Linked DNA regions of Oryctolagus cuniculus. The protein of the gene in region 2 interacts with the protein of the main gene of each other region in a biochemical or structural test. Links are inferred from orthologs where the notes say so. Each region holds a gene or a part of one and is shown on either strand. Other genes may lie near its edges.

The links.
Region 1: of the proteins of WWP1 (region 2) and WBP2, one has a biochemical effect on the other in vitro, tested with the Homo sapiens proteins (2 studies listed by BioGRID, with this or other methods). The link is inferred for Oryctolagus cuniculus from reciprocal best matches to the Homo sapiens genes WWP1 and WBP2.
Region 3: of the proteins of WWP1 (region 2) and KLF5, one has a biochemical effect on the other in vitro, tested with the Homo sapiens proteins (4 studies listed by BioGRID, with this or other methods). The link is inferred for Oryctolagus cuniculus from reciprocal best matches to the Homo sapiens genes WWP1 and KLF5.

The regions. Positions count from the first base shown.
Region 1 is NC_091448.1:4,794,351-4,800,742, reverse strand, and holds the start of WBP2 (WW domain-binding protein 2), read right to left. Parts: upstream 3,567-6,392; 5' UTR 2,961-3,566; coding exon 2,902-2,960; intron 1,043-2,901; coding exon 934-1,042; intron 1-933. UniProt on the Homo sapiens protein: Acts as a transcriptional coactivator of estrogen and progesterone receptors (ESR1 and PGR) upon hormone activation. In presence of estrogen, binds to ESR1-responsive promoters. Synergizes with YAP1 to enhance PGR activity.
Region 2 is NC_091437.1:111,621,484-111,627,912, reverse strand, and holds the start of WWP1 (NEDD4-like E3 ubiquitin-protein ligase WWP1), read right to left. Parts: upstream 4,361-6,429; 5' UTR 3,984-4,360; intron 1-3,983. UniProt on the Homo sapiens protein: E3 ubiquitin-protein ligase which accepts ubiquitin from an E2 ubiquitin-conjugating enzyme in the form of a thioester and then directly transfers the ubiquitin to targeted substrates.
Region 3 is NC_091440.1:39,677,105-39,683,460, forward strand, and holds the start of KLF5 (Krueppel-like factor 5), read right to left. Parts: upstream 4,323-6,356; coding exon 3,902-4,322; intron 2,865-3,901; coding exon 2,805-2,864; intron 1-2,804. UniProt on the Homo sapiens protein: Transcription factor that binds to GC box promoter elements. Activates the transcription of these genes.

The DNA.
Region 1 (6,392 bases), on a different chromosome or scaffold from region 2:
CAGGGGCTGCTGTGTCCACACTGCTGCTCGAACCCGGCCTGCGTGCGTGTGGAGAGCCCGCGGGGCGTTAACATCCTGATTGCAGTCTGGGGGTGAAGACGCCACCTTGGATTCCTTTCAACCCCGGCCGTGCAGGGACGGCGTCTCATGGCTCCTCTGCCGTGGCCACGTCCCGGTGATCACGGCCTGAAGACGCGGAGAGGTGTCGTGCTGCTGCAGGCGTGCGCCTTCCAGTCCGGCCGCTCGCTACTGCTTCCCGGGGGCAGGAAGTGCTGAGCCCCTGCCGCCCACGTGGGTCCCAGAGAGCTTCCGGGCTCCCGGCTGTTGTGGGCATTTGGAGGAGGAACCAACGAATGGAAGATCTCTCTCTCTCATGCAAGCACGCTCTGCTTTTTAAGTAGTAAAAATAATCCAAAACAAAAAACAACCCATCCTGACAACGCGCCCTGCTGCTTGTCGCTTGCGGCCGTCTTTCCACTGCCCTCCGCGGCCACGGCCGGCTCCTCCTCTGAGAACATCCGCTCGTGCTCATCTCCAAGCCGGCGTGGGCAGCTGGGAGGCGAGCCGGTTCTGCAATCTGGCGTTTCTCTCTGCAGGACTCGCTGGGCTCGCTGCCCAGGCTGGAGGCTGGAGCCAGGCTACTGCATCCTGTTTACCACGTCCACCACTCCGCGTGAGCACAAAGGCCTCTCCGGCTACTCTCACAGAAACCCAGGCTGGACGACCAGGCCGCCGGCCTCCAGGCGGCACCCCGGGGTAAGCTCCGATTCACTGCCCAGCAGCCCATTCGGCTGTAGTCGGCCCGGGGTCCGGGAGCACGGGACAGAGGAACGGGCGGAGGGAAGCCCCTCAACCCGCAGGCTGAGGCTGACCTACGACCGGGACTCACCTACCCCTGAGCCCCCAGACCCACGGCGCCGCTGAGCAACTCACCCGGTAAGGGGTAAGGTAGACCGTGCCTTTCTTGGTCCCTTTGAAGGCTTCTGGCACATTCTTCATGTCATTGAACGTGAGTTCCACATGATCATAGGACATCAGGATGCTGTGGCCAGGGGAGGGGAGAGGCCCGGATGAGACACTGCAGAGGTGGGATCTGGGACCCGGCACTGGGCCCTCCTCACAGTGCAAGGAAGGGGCTCACGCAGCCGAGCAGGGTCCCCCGCAGCCACGTGGCCACTCCAGCCTGCAGGCGGGGCATCATCTGGGCCTTTCCTAGGTCCCTTTCTGTCACCTGAGCAGAGCACACGTGTCTGAGTCCCGGGCATGACGCCACACCTCTCAAACGGCTCCCTCCGGGGTTCTTGGTCTGCGGGGACACCTGACCACGAAGCCCCAGGACGATCCTGCGTGTGCGCTTTCCTGGGAGGAACCCACTATTCTACACATCCAGTGTTAAACACCAGGCTCAGTTACAGACACAACTTCCTCCTCCAACAAGGCCACTGCGATGGGCGTTCAGCCTGGTGGCTAAGGCGCCACCCTGGGGACACCGCACTGCGTATGGGAGAGCCTGGACCCAGTCCTGGTCCCCACTCCCGACTGGGAGGCAGCAGCGGCGGCTCTGGTGATGGGGTCCCCGTCACGCACGTGGGAGACCTGGACCCCTGGCCCCGCACTGGCTGCTGTGGGCATTCGGGGCAGATCAGCGGATGGGAGTCTCTCAAAAACAACAAAGCACTAAGTACAGGCACACTGAGCCCCGCGGGGGGGGGGGGGGGGGGCGGGCCCAGCAGGACGTCGTTCCGGTCCCAGACAGATACATTTTAAGTCCCCCTTAGAAAGACAAAGTCCCAGGAGATCAAGCGATGTTAGGCAGAGGCTCCAGACACAACACGCCCGTCTGTAACCTGAGGCCACTCTGACTACGCGATAGAAAAGCTCCAAGTTCAGCCCCATCTGGCTCCCCCCCCTTCCCAAATATTACAACTTTCTCCACTGGGGGGGGGGGCGTAGCAGCAGGGAGGAGGGCGGCCCAGAGGAAGACGTGCCCAGCGGCCAGCTGGTGTTAGTGCCCAGCGGCCGAGCAGGTGGGTGCAGGGAGAGCAAGCTCCCTGGGGTCCAGGGCACCCCGCAGTCTCCCCTGGCAGGGCCCGGGCTGGGTGCTGTCCGGGCTGGCACGGCTCTCCCTGCACCCTGTCCGCCCTGGAGACCAAGGCTGCTCCTCGGTTCCTTCTGCCTTCGAGAGCGAACCAGGCTCGGCGTGGCTCAAGCCAGGCCTGGCTGGCCAATGCCCCAGGCCTAGGGGGCAGGAGAGGCCACCCAGAGGATGGAAGGAGGGGAGCGATGCCCTGAGCAGGGGCGGGGAGCAGGACCAGCCCTGACCCTGGCGGCGACCCAGGCCAGCAGGCCTTCGCGACAAAGTGGCCCGGTGGGTGGTAACCTTTACAAGGACCTACTCGCGAGCCGGGACATCCGCCCTCGGGGCCCTCAGCCTCTCGCCTGGCCCTAAGCCTGGCCGTGAAGCCCGGGTGGACTCCTCTCCTGCAGCGCCCGTCTGCGCGGCTCAGCGCCCGGAGCTCCGGCAGTGGCGCGCCCACCTCCGGGCGCTCCATTCGCCCCACCGGGCCCCGCGTAGGGCAGGAAGTTTGCCGCGCGGGGGTCGGCGCCCACCAGCCGGCCGAGGCCCCGGGCCCCGCACGTAGTAAGGGAGTCAACACTCAGCAATGGCAATGTTTGCGCCAGGCTCCTCCCAGCTCCCGGGGAAGGCGCCCGACAGCCACCCCCGGGCCTCCCCACCCGCCGCCCCTGGGATCGCAACACCGCAGCCCCCCACGGGCCCGCCCCCAGCCGTCACTCCTCCTCGGCGCTCCACCAGTCCGCCCCCGCAGGGGTCTACTCCCCACCGCCCACCCCCGGACACCCGCCCCGCTGTCCTCCGGGGTCCTGCCGCGGAGTTTTCACCTCTCCGTGTTGTTGACGATCACTCCGCCGCCCTCCGAGTGATTCTTGTTGAGCGCCATAGTCTCTCCGAGAGGGGTCCCGAGACTCAAACCGCAGTACGCTTGCGCCCCACTTCGGCCCGCCCCTAGTGGCGTCGTTCTTATTAGAACCAGCCAATCACAGCTCCTGCACGGAGGCTGGCCCAACCACCTGATCCCGGGCGTCACGTGGTAATAGTTTATTCCTTCTCCCTCTCCCCCGAGTTCCGCCTGCGTCACAAACAAGTTGGAGACTACAATTCCCAGTAGGCAGTTCGCCCTCAGCCTGGCCCGGTCCCTACGCTGATGAAAGAGATGCGTTCTGGAAATACATTCTGGGACTTGTAGTCTTCTAGACCACAGGCTAGGATCGACGCTGTGGTTTGCGTAAACAATCGGACTGTGCGCGTCCCCAGAAGGCTGGGAATAAACAGTTTAGCTTCTTCCTGGGGTAGGGGCTTCATCCTAAAGGCCACGGGCGCGTATTAATAAGGCCTACAAGGACAGAATATGGGCCCTGGGGCTGGGGCCCAAGGCCCAGTTTCCCTAGGAAAACACGGCCACCCCTTTAACCAGTCAAGCCCAGGCTCTCCGAGGTGGGCTGCGAGGACGCAGTGGGGAGGGGAGACTCACTGCCCCCGCCTCCGCCATCCCCTCCCCACCCCCTCCACTCCTCCCTCCCCTCTCCTCCCCTCTTTATCCCCTCCCCCCTCTTCTCCTCCCCTCCCCTCTACTCCCCTCTTTATCCCCTCCCCCCTCTTCTCCTCCCCTCTTTATCCCCTCCCCCCACCCCTCCCTCCCCTCGTCCCCCTCCCCTCTCTTCTCCTCCCCTCCCCTCCCCTCTTTATCCCCTCTCCCCCTCCCCACCCCTCCCTCCCCTCGTCCCCCTCCCCTCTCTTCTCCCCTCCCCTCTCGCGGTGGGGCCGGGGTCCCTCGGGCTCCCTCCTCGCCGCCGACTCCACCGCAGCTGGCCTCGCGGTGGCGCTGCCCGCTCTAGAATGTTCTGCCTGGCAGCCCCAGCCAGCCCGGCCCCTGCCTGGAAAATTTCAACCAGACGGAGTCCCTGAAACCAGGCGGAGTGCGAGGCCGGCAGCCAGACACCGGGGCTTCCAAAGCTGGGCTGGCTCAGAGAAGCTGTGATTCCAGCGGCCCAGGGGCAGGCGGCGTCCAGAGTCCATTCCGGGAATGGTTAATCTCACGGGTCAGAGTTTGGTTGCCTTAGCTTTGAAAGCGATTGCGTCCCGAGGACCGCGTCACGGGGAAGATCCTGACACAGCAGCCTCGTGCGATCCTGTGCCAGGCCGGGCCGCACCTCGCAGGGCCTGGGCTGGGCACTGAGCGGGTCCCGGTGACGGCCGCCCCACGTGGTCGGGCCGGTTTGGCAGGTGCCATCTCTATAGCCCATGTAAAGAACTCATTTGTATTTTTAAAAAACAGGGCAATGAAGGGGGGCCAGCGTTGTGGCACCATCCTGCGACCCCGGCATCCTATAAGGACACAGGTTCGGGGGGGGGGGCGGTTCCCGGCTGCCCCACTTCGGATCCAGCTCCCTGCTAATGAGCCTGGGAAAGCAGTGGAAGATGGCCCGAGTGCTTGGATCCCTGCACCCTCGTGGGAGACCAGGATGAAGCTCCTGATGCTTGGTGTTCCTGGCTTAGGCCTGGCCCAGCCCTGGGTGTTGTGTGGATATTTGGGGAGTAATCCAGTAGATGGAGATGGAAGGTGAATCTCTCTCTCTCCTCTCTCCCTGCCTTTCACATTAATAAATTAAAAAAAAGGAGGGGGGAGGGACTCCCCCTGCAGTGGGGCGCTCCATGGAAGGGAGGTAGGGTAGAACCTTCAAGCCCCAACCCCACCCCTTGGCCAAACTAGGGTCCAGCTAGAGGCAAGATGCCATCTGCTGTCACTCCTGAAGTGGCTTCAATAGCTGTAGCTGGACCGAACTGAAGCCAGGAGCCTGGAACTCCATCGCAGGGGGTGCCGGCATCAGCTAACGCACTGGTTAACCCACTGGGACACAACACGGGCCCCCAGCTGCGGGATCGGGGGGGGGGGGGCTGAAGCTCAGCCGGTTTTGGACGGAATACAGGATTGTAGCGCAGGGCGCTGTGGCCACCAGGGGCCTTGTGACCAGAGGAGGAGTGTAGCCACGGGGACCTCCCGGTGGGAGCCATAGCAAGCTTAGGTGATGCCGGCCTGAAGTGTTCGGGGGAGCCACGGCCACACCGCTGCTCCAGGTCCTGGAGACGCCGGCGACCCCAGGGCTGGAGCTGAGGGCCCCGCAGCAGCTCGTTGCTGGACCAAGCCCTTCTGGGCTGGGGTCTCGGGGCTGGAACCTCTTCTCCTCTTTCCTGTCGCTCTGCCTGTGTCCGGTAAGGACCCTTCGTTTCTGAACTGAAGCGTGCGTTCTCCAGGCCAGAGCTGGCTGGCGGAGCGCAGAGAAGGGCGCAGGTGCGCCTGCGACAGAAGCCAGCGGGGGGGGGGGGCTGCGCCCCACAGTCCGCGGCCTCTTGGGTCCCAGCAGCTTCCTCTGTTGGCCTTGTGAGCCGAGCAAACCCGTGTGTGCTGTGACGCGACGAGGTGAGCAGGCTGCTCTCCAGAGACTGGTTCTCAATTTTTACATTCTGACCCACAAGAAGAAATATTTTTAAAGTATGAATTATTTATCTGGGGGGAAGCTCGTGTTCCCCGGTTCACCCTCTAAATGCATATGACAGCTGGGCGTGGGGTGGGGTTGAAGCTGAGACAGAAACTCAGTCCAGGTCACTGCTGTCTCCAGGGATCTGCATTAGCAGGTGTTGAACACAGGAAACTTTTTTTTTTATGATTTACTTATTTATTTGAAAGGTAGAGTTAGAGAGAGGCAGAGGCAGAGAGAGAGAGAGAGAGAGGTCTTCCATCCACTCGTTCATTCCCCAGTGGCTGCAACGGCCAGAACTGAGCCAATCCAAAGCCAGGAGCCAGGAACTTCTTCCGGATCCCCCATGGGGTGCAGGGGCCCAAGGATCCTCCACTGCTTTCCCAGGCCATAGCAGAGAGCCGGATTGGAAATGGAGCAGCCGGGACTCGAACTGGTGCCCACATGGGATGCTGGCACTGCAGGTGGCAGTTTTACCCACTACGCCACAGTGCTGGCCCTGGAATATCTTTTTATCTCTATCTTTCCCCCTCTCCCTGTCAATCTGTCTGTCAAATAAAGAAAATACATTAAAAAAAAAAGTAAAAACCTGTCTGGTACTTAAAGTAGCTCAAATAGCAAAGCCACAGCCGAGGCCACACAGCGAAGCCGTGGCCCGCTGGCCCCTCTTCCAGCAACAGCTGCGCAGCGCCCACGTGGCCCCTGGACTTGTGTTGCGATTCCAATCATTATTTATTGATTGTGTTGTTTATTTGAGAGACAAGCACAGAGAAAGCTCCCATGTCGCATCCCTCGACCAGCAAGGAAGACACGACCCGAACTCTTCTTCCAGCAGT
Region 2 (6,429 bases):
GACCTTTCTCTCTGTCTCTCTCTCTCACTGTCCACTCTGCCTGTCAAAAAAAAAAAAAAATACATAAAATGCTATGCTAATGAAGGAAATAGTCTCTTAATGCCAGCAAAGAGTGAAATTCAGCTGTGAATGTGTTTCTGTCAGACAAGTTTTTCTTCATTAAACATTAGTAACTAGTTCTTTGGACACTAGTACAAGGTTAATTTATCAGGTTTTCCACTGCTAATTATCACATAATATTTTTCTGCAGAGTTAAACAGACCAGTCTTCCCAATAACTAGGGAATCAAAGTTTCCAGAACTATAACAGACAACAAACAATAACATGCCGTGGTTTCCTACCAGAGAGACAAAACAGTTACAAAAATGTCAACTGTTCACTTATCAAAATGTGCTTTAACCATAATAGTAAGAGACAGCTACTTAATCCTTTTTTAAAAATTACTGAATAGGAATTCTCATTTCATTTGTTCTGTAAAGTTTCCATTTTCAATTGCTTCGGGCTTCCTGAATGATTGAAAGGAGTATTCATAAGTAAGGCATATAGGAACAGAAAGATTAGAAAGTCCTTAAAGTTTATTTCATTTACATCACCTCCCTCTCCCTTCCCAAGCTGAGAGATATCAGGACAATAGTTATCAAGATGATCAGTGTGCTAATGCTACCTGCTCTCCCTCCACCAATTCATTCCTCAGACCTACCAGCTTTCAGGCAAAGAGAAAACAAGCGTACAGATATTACAATGAAAATCTAAGACTAAAGAATCTAAAAATGTTCAGAGCTGGAAGGGTCATTTCCTGGGATCAATTAGTCCTTACTGATGAGGTCACTTAAAGCAGTAAGTATTTCCAAGTAATGGTAAATTTGCTGTACTATCTGAATACAAGAAAGAAAACCATCTTTGTCACCCCACTCCTGATTCCACTTCACCCACCAGCAACTCTAAGGCAAATCATTTATACTCTTGGCTACTTTGTTCTATAAAATAACAAGAGACAGTATAAAATCTCTGCAAACTGTCAACCACAACACAAGCATAACACTATGTCTCTAGGTTTATACACAGTTTATCTCTACAGTAGGTCTTCTTTTCAGTGAATGGAAGAATCTGAAGCTTCTGCTATTTTAAAAAGCTCCCAGAAGCCCCCAGCCCAACTGACTGGCCAAGGGGGTTTCATGAATGAGCTTCAGGTGGTCCATGGACTCCCCTAAAATTATATCCATAAGGCATACAAGAGTACTTCAAAAATAAAATTAAAAATAATGTGAAGTAGGTGCTTGGCCTACTACTTAAGCCATCAGTTAGGACACCCACATCCCATATCACAGTGCCTGGGTTCAAGTCCCAGCTCCACTCTGATTTCAGTTCTGTTAATGCCTCTGGGAGGCAGCAGGTGATGGCTCAAGTGGCTGGGTCCCTACCACCTCCATAGGGGACCTGGATTAAATTCCTGACTCCCAGTTTCCACCTGGCCCAGCCTGCAGCTGCAAACATTGGGGAAATGAACCAGCAACTGAGAGCGGTGTCTCTCAAAAGAAATTAAAAATAAATGCACATTTTCCAAACTCTTTGAAGAGTCCTCACTGTGCCTCTGGAAGTCTTCCAGGCTAGCAGCTTTTTTAGTTAGGATTAATAAACAGCAAAAAGTTGTAAAGTAACTCACAAACACTGAGGGTCAAGTCTACAAGGATCTTGCTCAAAATGGTCCTATTCCTCCAATCTACCTGGATCCCTCTCAAATTCTGGCTATTCTATTTCCTTTTTCCTTTCCAATCCTATTACCAAAACAGCTTAGAGCCTCCCCACCTACAATTAAGACAATCAGGAAGTGTTCCTACTTCCAGGATCTCTAGTCCTCCACTCATACAAGCTGCTACCAGATTAAGCCTCTTAAAACAATAGTCTAAAATTGTTTCACTCCCAACTTAAAAATTATCTTCGGAGCCCTCAATGCTTAGGAAATTCAAGGTCATTAGCATGGCATTAAAAACAATCCACAACTAGTCCCAAGCCTTTACCAAAGCTTTATCACCCTTTATCCTAGTACAAAAACTCTGTGTTCCATTTAACCATAATTACGTGCCTCTTCCCAGATGTATGAACTTGGTGCCCTCTCAGATTCTTCTCTTTGCTTGGATTATCTTTCCCTGTCTATCCAATGTCAGTCATTCTTCAAAACTAAGATTTAGAAAGCCAGAAGTTCTCCTAACTAACTGCACCTTTCCAGAGGATCGCAACTCTACCACTTCTGAATTTAAATTCTGGTTGGATTTTTGTATCATTATGAAACTTTACTATATATTAAAAGACAAACGGGGCATTTGTGTGTATTATTCGCAGGACTGGGGACAGAAATTGTTAATTATTCTTTGTATTCCCCAAAATACCTCATGCAGTAGATGCTAAATAACTGTGCAAGGAAGGAAAAGAAATGTCAATCGTCCTGGGGTAAACAGCAAAGATTACAATCTCTTTGAAGGCAGAGACCTTATCTATGACATCCTCTATCATGTTAGTCTTCCAAAAAACAAGCATTGTAAGGACTGCTTTTCAAAACGATGGTGTTGTGGGTCTTACAAGCAGTTCTTCACTTTATGGGAAAAACACTTTGAAATGTTTGTAAGCTATGTTCCAAAGAACTATTCCACACATTTCACACTTTTCAGTTCAAGTAGCTCCCAACTCTTGGCCACTAACATCTTCAACTTAAAAATATTAACTATTTATGAAAAATAATAATTTCCAGTAACACAATATACTGCTTTATGGCTAAAAACAAGTCACATAAATAAAAGAATGCCTTTATTTTTTAAAACCTGATTTTTTGCTTGCATAATACACAGACTTGATGAGACAGGTAAAAATGGATTTAAACATAAGCATGAACTCTTGTAGAAACCTGCAGACAGCTATAAACCAGGTGTTTCAGGTAAAAATATTAAAGAGGAGAGGGGGAAGAAAGATAACTTCGGACATTAGCTTTTGCTACTATGACCATTAGCATCTTAAAGCAAAAACTCCAATCTTTATGCATATGAGCCTACACACAAAAAAGATTAAAATCTTTCCAAATAAAAAAAGGAAAACTAAAGCAAGCCCTTACAAAATATTCTGTCTTTAAGGAGTAAAAACATCAAATTTATACATAGATAACTACTGTTTTTTTGGTGTGTGTTTTTTGTTTTTGCTTTTTGGAAACGAAGCTCTCACGTAATTACCGGAGCAAAAGAAAGTCAACTCCACATCCACGGAGTAAAGAAAAGCTCTGCACAGTCCTTGTGCATATGAGGCTGGCAATTTAAATGTTGTAAAAGCAATGGACAAAGTATCAATTTAAATTTACCACCACCACTACCACCCCTCAAAAAAAAAAAAAAAGATTAAAGAAGGGGATTGAAGTCACACGTGAGGCTGGGACTGGCAAAATCTGCAAGGTCACTGAGATCTACCAGGTCACAAAAGGTAGAGGTGGGGGTTGTGTTGGGGGGGGGGGTGGCTGCGGAATCAGTGGAAAAGCCAGATTTAAAAAAAAAAAAAAAAGCACGTCAGAAAGAGACGTTCTGAGACTGGAGTCCTTGGTTTGGGACGGCGGAAGGGGGTGAAAGTCAGGGCACGGGCAGGGAGTCCGTGCTTTGAGGGAGGTGTGAGGCAGAAACGTAGAAGCAGCAGACGAGAAGGCGAAGGGAACGGGGAACTGCGGCTGCAGAGTCACGGAAACACTTCGCCCCGCTCCAGGATCATTCGCCCAGGCCTGTGCCAGGGCCAACTCCGGGCAAGACCCGTGACCCAAGCCCAGAAAACTCCAGGCCCCCCGGGCTGGAGAAGGCAGACACGGCGGCGCGAACTGTCCCCCGACGGCCCCGAGAGAGAGAGAGAGAGAGAGAGAGAGAGAGTCCCGCCCGGGGGCGGTCGGCGCCGGACTCCCCACACCGCGGCCGAGGCTCCGGGCCCGCGCCCCGCGCCCCCCGCCCCGGCGTCCTTACCCTGCGCGAAGCTGCCGGCGCCCGGCAGCGGACGGCCACAGCTGCGGCGCCTCCTCCCGCGGCGGGCGCCCTCAACCTTCCGCGCCTAAGATCGCCATCTCGCAGCAGGCGCGGCGGCGGCGGCGGCAGCGGCAGCGGCAGCCACCCAGGCGTCGGCCCCGGCAGCCCAGGCCGCCTGCAGCCACTCGAAACCCGCACGCCGCGTTTGCCGACACCCGACCCTCCCCCCACCCCCACCCCGGCCACGCGCCACCCCCGAGTCGACCCCACACCTCCCTTCCTCGGGAGCACGCCGCGTGCCCGCGTCACCGGCGCCGCGCCCAGAGCGCGCGCCCCCTCCACCCGCCCGGGCACCGCGCTACGCAGCGGCCACCTAAAGACTCCAACTCCGGAGCCGGAATCCGGCGGATTTGCGAGCATGCGCAGCAAGGGCACCCCCGCCGCCTTTAGAAGGGCCACTCCTCCGGGTCTTCTGAGCGATCGACTCGTGTGGGGGGGCGGGGGCGGGCCAGCCAATAGGGGAAGGGGGCGTGGCCTGGACCTGTGAAAGGGGTGGGGCTTCCGCAGAGGTTTGGGAAGAGGCTTTAAGCCAGTGCTAGGTACTGCTGACTTGACTTTCCGGTACTCGGCCCAACCTGCGCGTGACCTCAAGCAGGCTCCTTAGGGCACTGGCGTCCTTTTTTACGAACGCCTTACAGCGAAAGCAGGCTGTTAATAAAGTCTGCTTGACCTAGCTGAGTGCTTGACTTAGAGCCCGTTGCCAAAGTACATGCATTTAGAAGATAGACATACCAGAAGACTTGCAATTTCTGTATATTGGTAATCAAAACGTTCACAACCCACCCCTGCCCACGTCAGCCCAGTGATAAAGCTAATACATGTTGAACAAGAGTATGTGTCAGCGCAATTAGTCCCCATAACAGTCTCATCAGGTAGCGTCTATTATTTCCATCATTCACGCCGAGTCAGCCTGTTTAGGGAAGTGCCCGTGTATTGCTTTTAGAAGGCCGAGCAAATACAAGTGAGTAAGGGCCACATTACTCATGCATGAATTTCTCGAGTGTTTGCCCAAACACCTCACCTACCCCAACAAATTACCTACGTCCACACTCTCAGAGGCTTGGTGTCCCTGCTACTCTCCCAAGCGAACCTGCGCTCTGCTCCCTCTCGGGACCCTTCCTGGCACTTCTCTAACCTCACCTGTTAGCATAACCATGTTTTAAGACTTTTCTCACCTAAACTTTCCATTGACTTTAAAACTCCCTTCCTGCTCTCTCTTCTTTTGTCACAACAGAGCTTTTCGTAGAGTGGCAGTGTCATTGTTGATGCCACTCCACGAATATTTGTGGGATCCAATAAATACCTCCTGGTGGGACACATGCACATTTCCTTCCACTCCGGGGCAGGAGTGCTGACCTCTGCCTTCACACCTGAATTTGGTCCCCATTGAATCCCCGAAGATCATTCTGAATGCCCGTCTGAGCTCGTCGCTCACCCCGCTGCTTCATTCTTTGGCTCTTCCTAGCTTTCCTGAGGAAGGTTACCGCGATAGTCAAGCCCCTTTTCATGCTCATATACTCTGTTCCTCCTCTTAGGAAAAACTCCTTCCGCTTCCCTGAATGTACTCACTCATCTCTGTGCTTTAACCACGATGTCCTCTGATTTGCCCTCTTCGTTTTGCGTAACAGTCCCTTTAAATAGATGTCACCACGAATTTGCAACTCACCGCCCCCCCCCCCACCCGCCAACCCACCCAGCAATTCCCTAAGAATTCCCAGCAAGATCTGCCCTCCTCCAGAGTGCATGCTGGCTTCCTTCTGCTTCCTGCTCTTCTCTGTCTCACGTTCAGCTCCCCCAGTTGCTCAGTTTCCCACTCAGCTTGTTTCTGTACAGAAGCGCCTAGAGTTCATCTAGCCCACTAAATTGATACCCAGTAGTGAACCATTTTTCTTTCATTATGGAATGTTCCTTTGGTTTCCAATGCACACTGTTATATATATATATATATATATATATATATATGTTTTCCCAAGTCATTATCTATGTCCTTATTTGTTGTCATAGGTTACTTCTTACAAAGTGATTGAAAATATGAACAAGTTTAGTCCTTTTGTAACTAATTGACAAGTTGACTTCTAGGAAGAGCATGTGTCCAAATGTCACATTACCTGTGATCAAAACAGCTCTGCCAACCTAACTTTCAGGACCCGGGGCACTTTTACCTTTGTGGGCCTCTTCCTCCATGAAATAATATTGTAAATTATATTAATATTACAAGTTGTGCTTCCGCACTGCTTTGGTATAAAGACAATTATATTACTATTACACATTAACATATTTTCTTTGACCTAAACGTTTATATTTTTTTATCTCCTAGTTTTAATAGAAATTAGAATTTTTTTATGGGCTGTGCAAGTATTGTGAGCCTGTGGCACTGTGCCTGCTA
Region 3 (6,356 bases), on a different chromosome or scaffold from region 2:
CCTTAAAAGGAAGAAGAAAAAAGCCTCTGCTGGCTTCACAATGGATGGGGTGGGGAGGATGCAACGAGAGAGCACAGGTCATTTTAAAAGGCATTGTCTGGAAACTAGAAATGAGGAGAAAACAACCTCAATGCTCTATGATTACCCAAGAACGGGTTTAGCCAGATGAACGAGTCTGGTACAAACCCTCCCCAAGGTATTTGAAAGACTATCAAACACAACTTTATTAAACTGGATTACACTGCACGGGCTCACTCATTAGATGCTGAAGGCCACAATGTTTATGATCAGGTGAAAAAGTCCACGCATGAGACTCTTTTTAGCTTGTTACCACAAGCATTGTGAAGATAGCCCACTATTCAATTTCTCTGCCAGCAGGTCAAGTTCTTGAATCCCAGGTACAAGCATTCAGAGCACTAAACCCTGACAGGGGTTGAAAGGCTATTTAGATATAGTCAGACTACTTCTCTGCAATAAGCGGCTGATTACATCGTTATATGAGATTGTACTCTTCCTTTATTAGGGGACTTTAACCCCATGAAAATGTGTTCCCTAGTTCTTATCTCCTGTTTCAAGGTCTTCCAAAAGAGAAAAAAACAATAGTTCAAATAAATATTTCTAAGTTATTTCTACATCCCCCTCAAAATCAGGCTGAAATAATTTTTCAATGTTTTCTTAATATGTTTCCTGTAGTATGGTATTTCAGTATTTGTAAACAGAATGTTTTCCTGGCACTTGTCATTTGTATCTTGAAATCTTTATATTTAAGTTTTTTTTTTTTTTTTTTTTTTTTTTTTTTTTTTTTTTTTTATAGGCAGAGTGGACAGTGAGAGAGAGAGACAGAGAGAGAAAGGTCTTCCTTTGCCGTTGGTTCACCCTCCAATGGCCGCCACTGCAGCCGGCGCACCACGCTGATCCGATGGCAGGAGCCAGGAGCCAGGTGCTTTTCCTGGTCTCCCATGGGGTGCAGGGCCCAAGCACCTGGGCCATCCTCCACTGCACTCCCTGGCCATAGCAGAGAGCTGGCCTGGAAGAGGGGCAACCGGGACAGAATCCGGCGCCCCGACCGGGACTAGAACCCGGTGTGCCGGCGCCGCAAGGTGGAGGATTAGCCTATTGAGCCACGGCGCCGGCTCATATTTAAGTTTTTATAACATGTTTATTTTGTGGGCTTTTTTTAAGAAATTGGTTCTAATGATTTGATGTTGATACAGTATTGCTTTAAATAAAAAATGACACAAATCCTTTTGTGCCTTCTGAGGCATCATTTTTAAAGCCACAGACCTGTGTTTCCTATTTAAATAATTTAAACAAAAATGTGTAAGTAGGGACAAGCCATAAAGCTTAGATCCTTTTCCCCAAGGGCAGCCCATTCATTTTTGGTTCTTTTTTGTGGGTGTTGAACCATAATTTCTACCTTGAGTTGCTTACATAATAGAATCTTTCCTTTCACATGATCAATTTGTCTATATTTAAAAACCCGAGACCAAAATAACCCATTCATTTCATAGATAGAGGAAATGGCTTTTCTTTAAAAGCGGTTTCTCAAAAAGTCTTGTAACCTACCACCATTGTCGCCGATATTACTCTGATTTTAATAAGTAGTGTTTATCACTGGGATATCAAGCAATTCTAACATGCACACAAAATGTCTGCAACCATGTTCCTCTCAGGACTCTATCTCAGCACTGACCTTTGTTCAAAGGCTTTTACTTTTTAATGTAGCAGTTAGAGATAACTACTTCATTTATCAAAACTCAATTTCCATAGTAACATCTAGCCTGGGGAGATTCAAGTCCTCACACTAATCCAACAACCCATTCAAAGGAACTGTTGAATACTTTGGTTTCCATAGCAATGATGGAATAATACATTTTGCTAGGTCATTGCTTTTATTAGCAAACTTATTCTTTGAACTTTAGGTAAGGCTGCATTTATTGAAGGGAAAACAGTCACTTTATATAAGTTCTTTGCTTTAGGGCTGTTCTTTTAAGAAAATTACAAGGAGTAACCATCTATATATTAAAAAATATTTTGGGTATTTGGACGCGTTTCATGAAGTATGCCACCTAGTTTCACCTTAAAATGCATTTTAAAATTAAGTCTCTGAAAAGTGACTATCGTGGATTTAACAAAACAAGCAGACACTTTTAAAATGAAAGGGGCTATAGTTAAAAGTACATTTTAAACAAAGATGAAATCTCTCAAATAAATATACCCAATTTGTAGAATCCAATTTGTAGAATAATTTTTAAAATATTACCCCATTTCTAACCACTTGACTTTAATACTCGGCAATTTCAGCCCTACCTTTCAGCAAGTACAGAAAATACGTGAAACAGGTATTTCACACTAAACGTGAAATCAGAGATAACAGACACCGCTCAGCAGCCATAGCGCACATGCCAGGTGGAAAGGTTTTTGGTGTTCACAGTGGCTCTGTGGAAGCAAAATGATTTGCTACAAAGGAAGAAAATTAATTTCATTTTCCCCCCCTCAAGACTGAACCAGCAGTGCCATTAAAAGTTTTAAAGTCCATTAGTAAACATCGTTGTTTAGATTTTTCAGTAATTAATCCTATGTGAGGTGACAGGCAAGGCGTTAGTGAGGGAACATCAGCCTTCCTGGAACCAGACTTTTTCATGGAACTGAATTTTGAGCCAAGCCAGTACTGAAAAGGTAGGCCATTAAAAAATAAAAGTTGACAGAAGAAAGAAGAGATCAAACACGTGTTGGCTTTTAAAAGGATGAATACCACTTACACTATTTACACAACTCCCAGTATTAACAAGAAAATTACATACCAGTGTGAGTCCTCAGGTGAGCTTTTAAATGAGAAGACTTTGTATAAACTTTTGTGCAGCCTAAAATGAAGGAGAAGAACAGCTTGTCATTTCGCAGAGCCTTTTGAAACCTTTACATCTGATGATTCAGTCTTTAAAATCTGACTTTAAAGAAGAAATCTCTAGTGCTAGATGAGATATTTGAAGTTTCAGTTTTAAAAGTCTTTGCGTGCTCCCCCATTATCTTATTAAAGGCATAAAGTGATCGGTTTCATCTATCGCCTTAGTAGGAAAGAACACACAAAATCGGGCCAAACTACAAATAGAACGTTTGTGTTTATATTCCAGTAGGTAGGTTATACTAGCAACACACAGTTCAGCAACTAACAGCTACTATAGTATGTTTTTTAAAAAATTTCAATGGCTCTAGAACTACAATGCTAAGCCATTATCTAAGATGACTACAATTTTCTGTACTCCGACATTTCTTGTTTTTTCATTTAGCACGTCATGCCATATCATGTACCATAGTCAATAAATTATGCCCTGTATTAAACATAAACTAGCTTACGCCAGCAACTTGTAAATATACTCATTACTGTCATCAATTTATATTTTCAGCTGCATCCCTCATTCAAGAATGAGCATATGCTATCAGAAGCTACCATAAATCTACCCTGGACCGTCTCGTAGCTGTTATCAGCTAGCTGTCCACAGCGCCCGTTTCATTTCTACACAATATTTCACCCCCCCCAATATTTTTCCAGGCACTTAATCTATAATAAAAAACTGCAATTCATTAGATTATCTTAAAGTAAATGTAAACTCTGTAATGTGTGTGAAACTCAAATGTACTGCTGAAGAGAAAAAAGTTCAAGATAACTTTTCTCCAGAGTATTCTAGACATTTTTTAAATATATAAAAATAAGCAATAGACTACTAACTTGTTTCATACCACAGTAAAGCACAAAAACAGGGTATGAAATGAACAACGTAGGTGTTACTGTCAAGGTTCCTATATAAATGTAAGGTCTGAGTTTGGAAGAGACACAACTGCACACCTGTACAGACACACAAACACTATTGATTGTCGCTCCACCCCAGTGTAGATGACATACCAGGGTAATCGCAGTAGTGGATGCGGCGTTTCTCCAGGTCGGGGTTACTCCTTCTATTGTATCTGACGGGTTGGATGTTTTGCGAATTGACTGGCAGGGTGGCAGGTAAATTTGGATTGTGAATTGCCAGCTTGGAAGCAATGGTAGCAGCATAGGATGGCGGTGGGGTTAAATTCTGGAGCATCTCTGCTTGTCTATCAGGACTTCCAGGCTCTGAGCTCGGTGGTGATGGGGGAAAGTAAGTGGCCTGTTGTGGCAGAAACTGACTTGGCATTGTGTATGTGCAAGGGGGCATGCCCTGGAACTGTTTCATTGCAGTCTGTGGAACGGCAGAGGTGTGTGTGTTCAGGCCTGCCATGGCGGCTGACATAGAAACATTGAGAGTGTCCATCACTGCTGTCTGGTTTGTAGAACTGGGCATATCTAGATCCGGTGTGTTCAGCAGCTGGTACAGGTGGCCCTGCTGGGGAGGGACAGAAAGATGAAGATCTGGTGTAGGAAGTTCTTGTTTGATGAAGATATTGTTCACCTCTGGAGCTGCGGCCTGGTGGGAGCTGAAAATACTGGTGAACTCGGGGAGGGCCTGGGTCGGGGCCGGAGGAGGGGCGGTTGTTTCACTCTGGTGGCTGAAAATGGTAACAGGCTCTGTCTTGATGTGTGTTACGCACGGTCTCTGGGACTTGTAGAGGCCAGTTCTCAGGTGAGTGATGTCAGGGAGGAAGACGTTCATGTTGATACTGTAAGGCAGCCCTTCACTGTCAGTGAAGAACTGGTCTACCACCGAGGCACTGTCTCGTCTATACTTTTTATGTTCTGGAATTATTGGAACTGGAGGCAGCTGAGGTGTCAGATACTTTTCCATTTCACATCTTGTCTAAAAAAGAAGAGACACAAACACGCATAATCCACCTGATTCAAACGTGCTCTTTTTAAAAAACCTCTTACACCCTCCAATCCCGACATAAAGTACTAGGACAAACTCCTAAGTGTTGCTTATAAATGGACCAGGTTTATTTTGTCAATTGTGTAATAACTGGTTCACCAAAACCTTATGAAACTCTAACATGCATTTGATAAAAATCGCTCCCCTTTATCAGTCCCAGACAAAAAAAGTGAAAAAAAAAAGGCAAATCAAGAAAAAAAAGGAAGCAAACAGAAATCATATTCCTCTGTGATGCAATAGTAGGACAAACAGGATTCCCTGCCCCATTACACAGTCAAGTGTGCAATTCAAGTACGAGGGCAGTAATGAAATATTGCCAAACTACCTCAATTCTAGTTAAGCTTAACATTCTTACACTCGCACAACTCTACAAATCTTGTTTGCAGTTTTTTTTTTTTTTTTTTGCTTGGCAAGGTATTTCTGAAATACCTCATCTAAAACATTCTTCAGCTAGTTCAGTGCCTCTTCTTGTTTACGATTTAATGGAAACCTAAATACAATGTTTTGGCAAAACACAGTATCCACTGAAACAAAACAGTTTCACATTTAGCATTTGATCTAAATGTTGATTTTAATCAGTAGATTCGGTAATTGGTTAATATGATAATGAAATGTTCCTATTCATATCCCTATCTCAAACAGATCTTTAATTACCTAGGGGGAAATCACTCCCTTGGTAGCCGGGTAGGTGGGGAGAGGCTGCTGATGGGCTAGCACAGTCATCAGCCAAACATTTATCATGTCCTCCCCAGTGGGCCGGCGCTACATTCCCCCTCTCTCTGCAAAAAGCTCAGTCATGCCTTATCCTCTAGGTATCTCCTAGGCAGGAGAGTGACAAACTCAAATAACCACATAGTTTTCAAGGGGTGATTTTTTTTAAGAACATGATCCAGCTAGTAACAAGCTGCCCTCAGTCTTTTCACAGCTATCTTTTCTCCTAGAATAACATAAGCCCCCCCCCCCCCCAATTTTTAACATGGAACAGGAAATTCTCAAAGAAACACACAACTAGATGGCAGGGCTCCCATAACTAGCAACCACGGCACCTCGATCGGTAGATAAGACAGTCATTTTCTGCCACCGCTTAATTTCAAAAGCGTTTCATCTCGGGACTACAAGATCATTCAGTGTGGATGAGGCCGGGATTTCCCGGATAGACACGATTTAAAAATAAAAACGGACGCCCAGTCATGTGAGTCACATCCCCGACCAACGCCACTGGCCTCCGTGCGCCCGCGGAGGCCGGCGGAGCCCGGGCCAGGCGCTGGGGGGCACACACACCCCGCACCGAGGGGCCAGGACCGGCTCTGGAAATAAACCCAGCTAAACCCTTTCGCGCACCGCGCTCCCGCGGCGGTTAGTGGTTTCTGATTTTAGCTCTTCCAGCTGTTTGCATGTGGGTATGCTTCCAATTTTTTTTTTCCCCTTCCTTGGGACAGGCTAAAAGTCCCGGGAAGTTTTTTCTGGGCTATATGACTCCCTTGCGTGGGCGAGAGAAACAGGCGGTTGCTC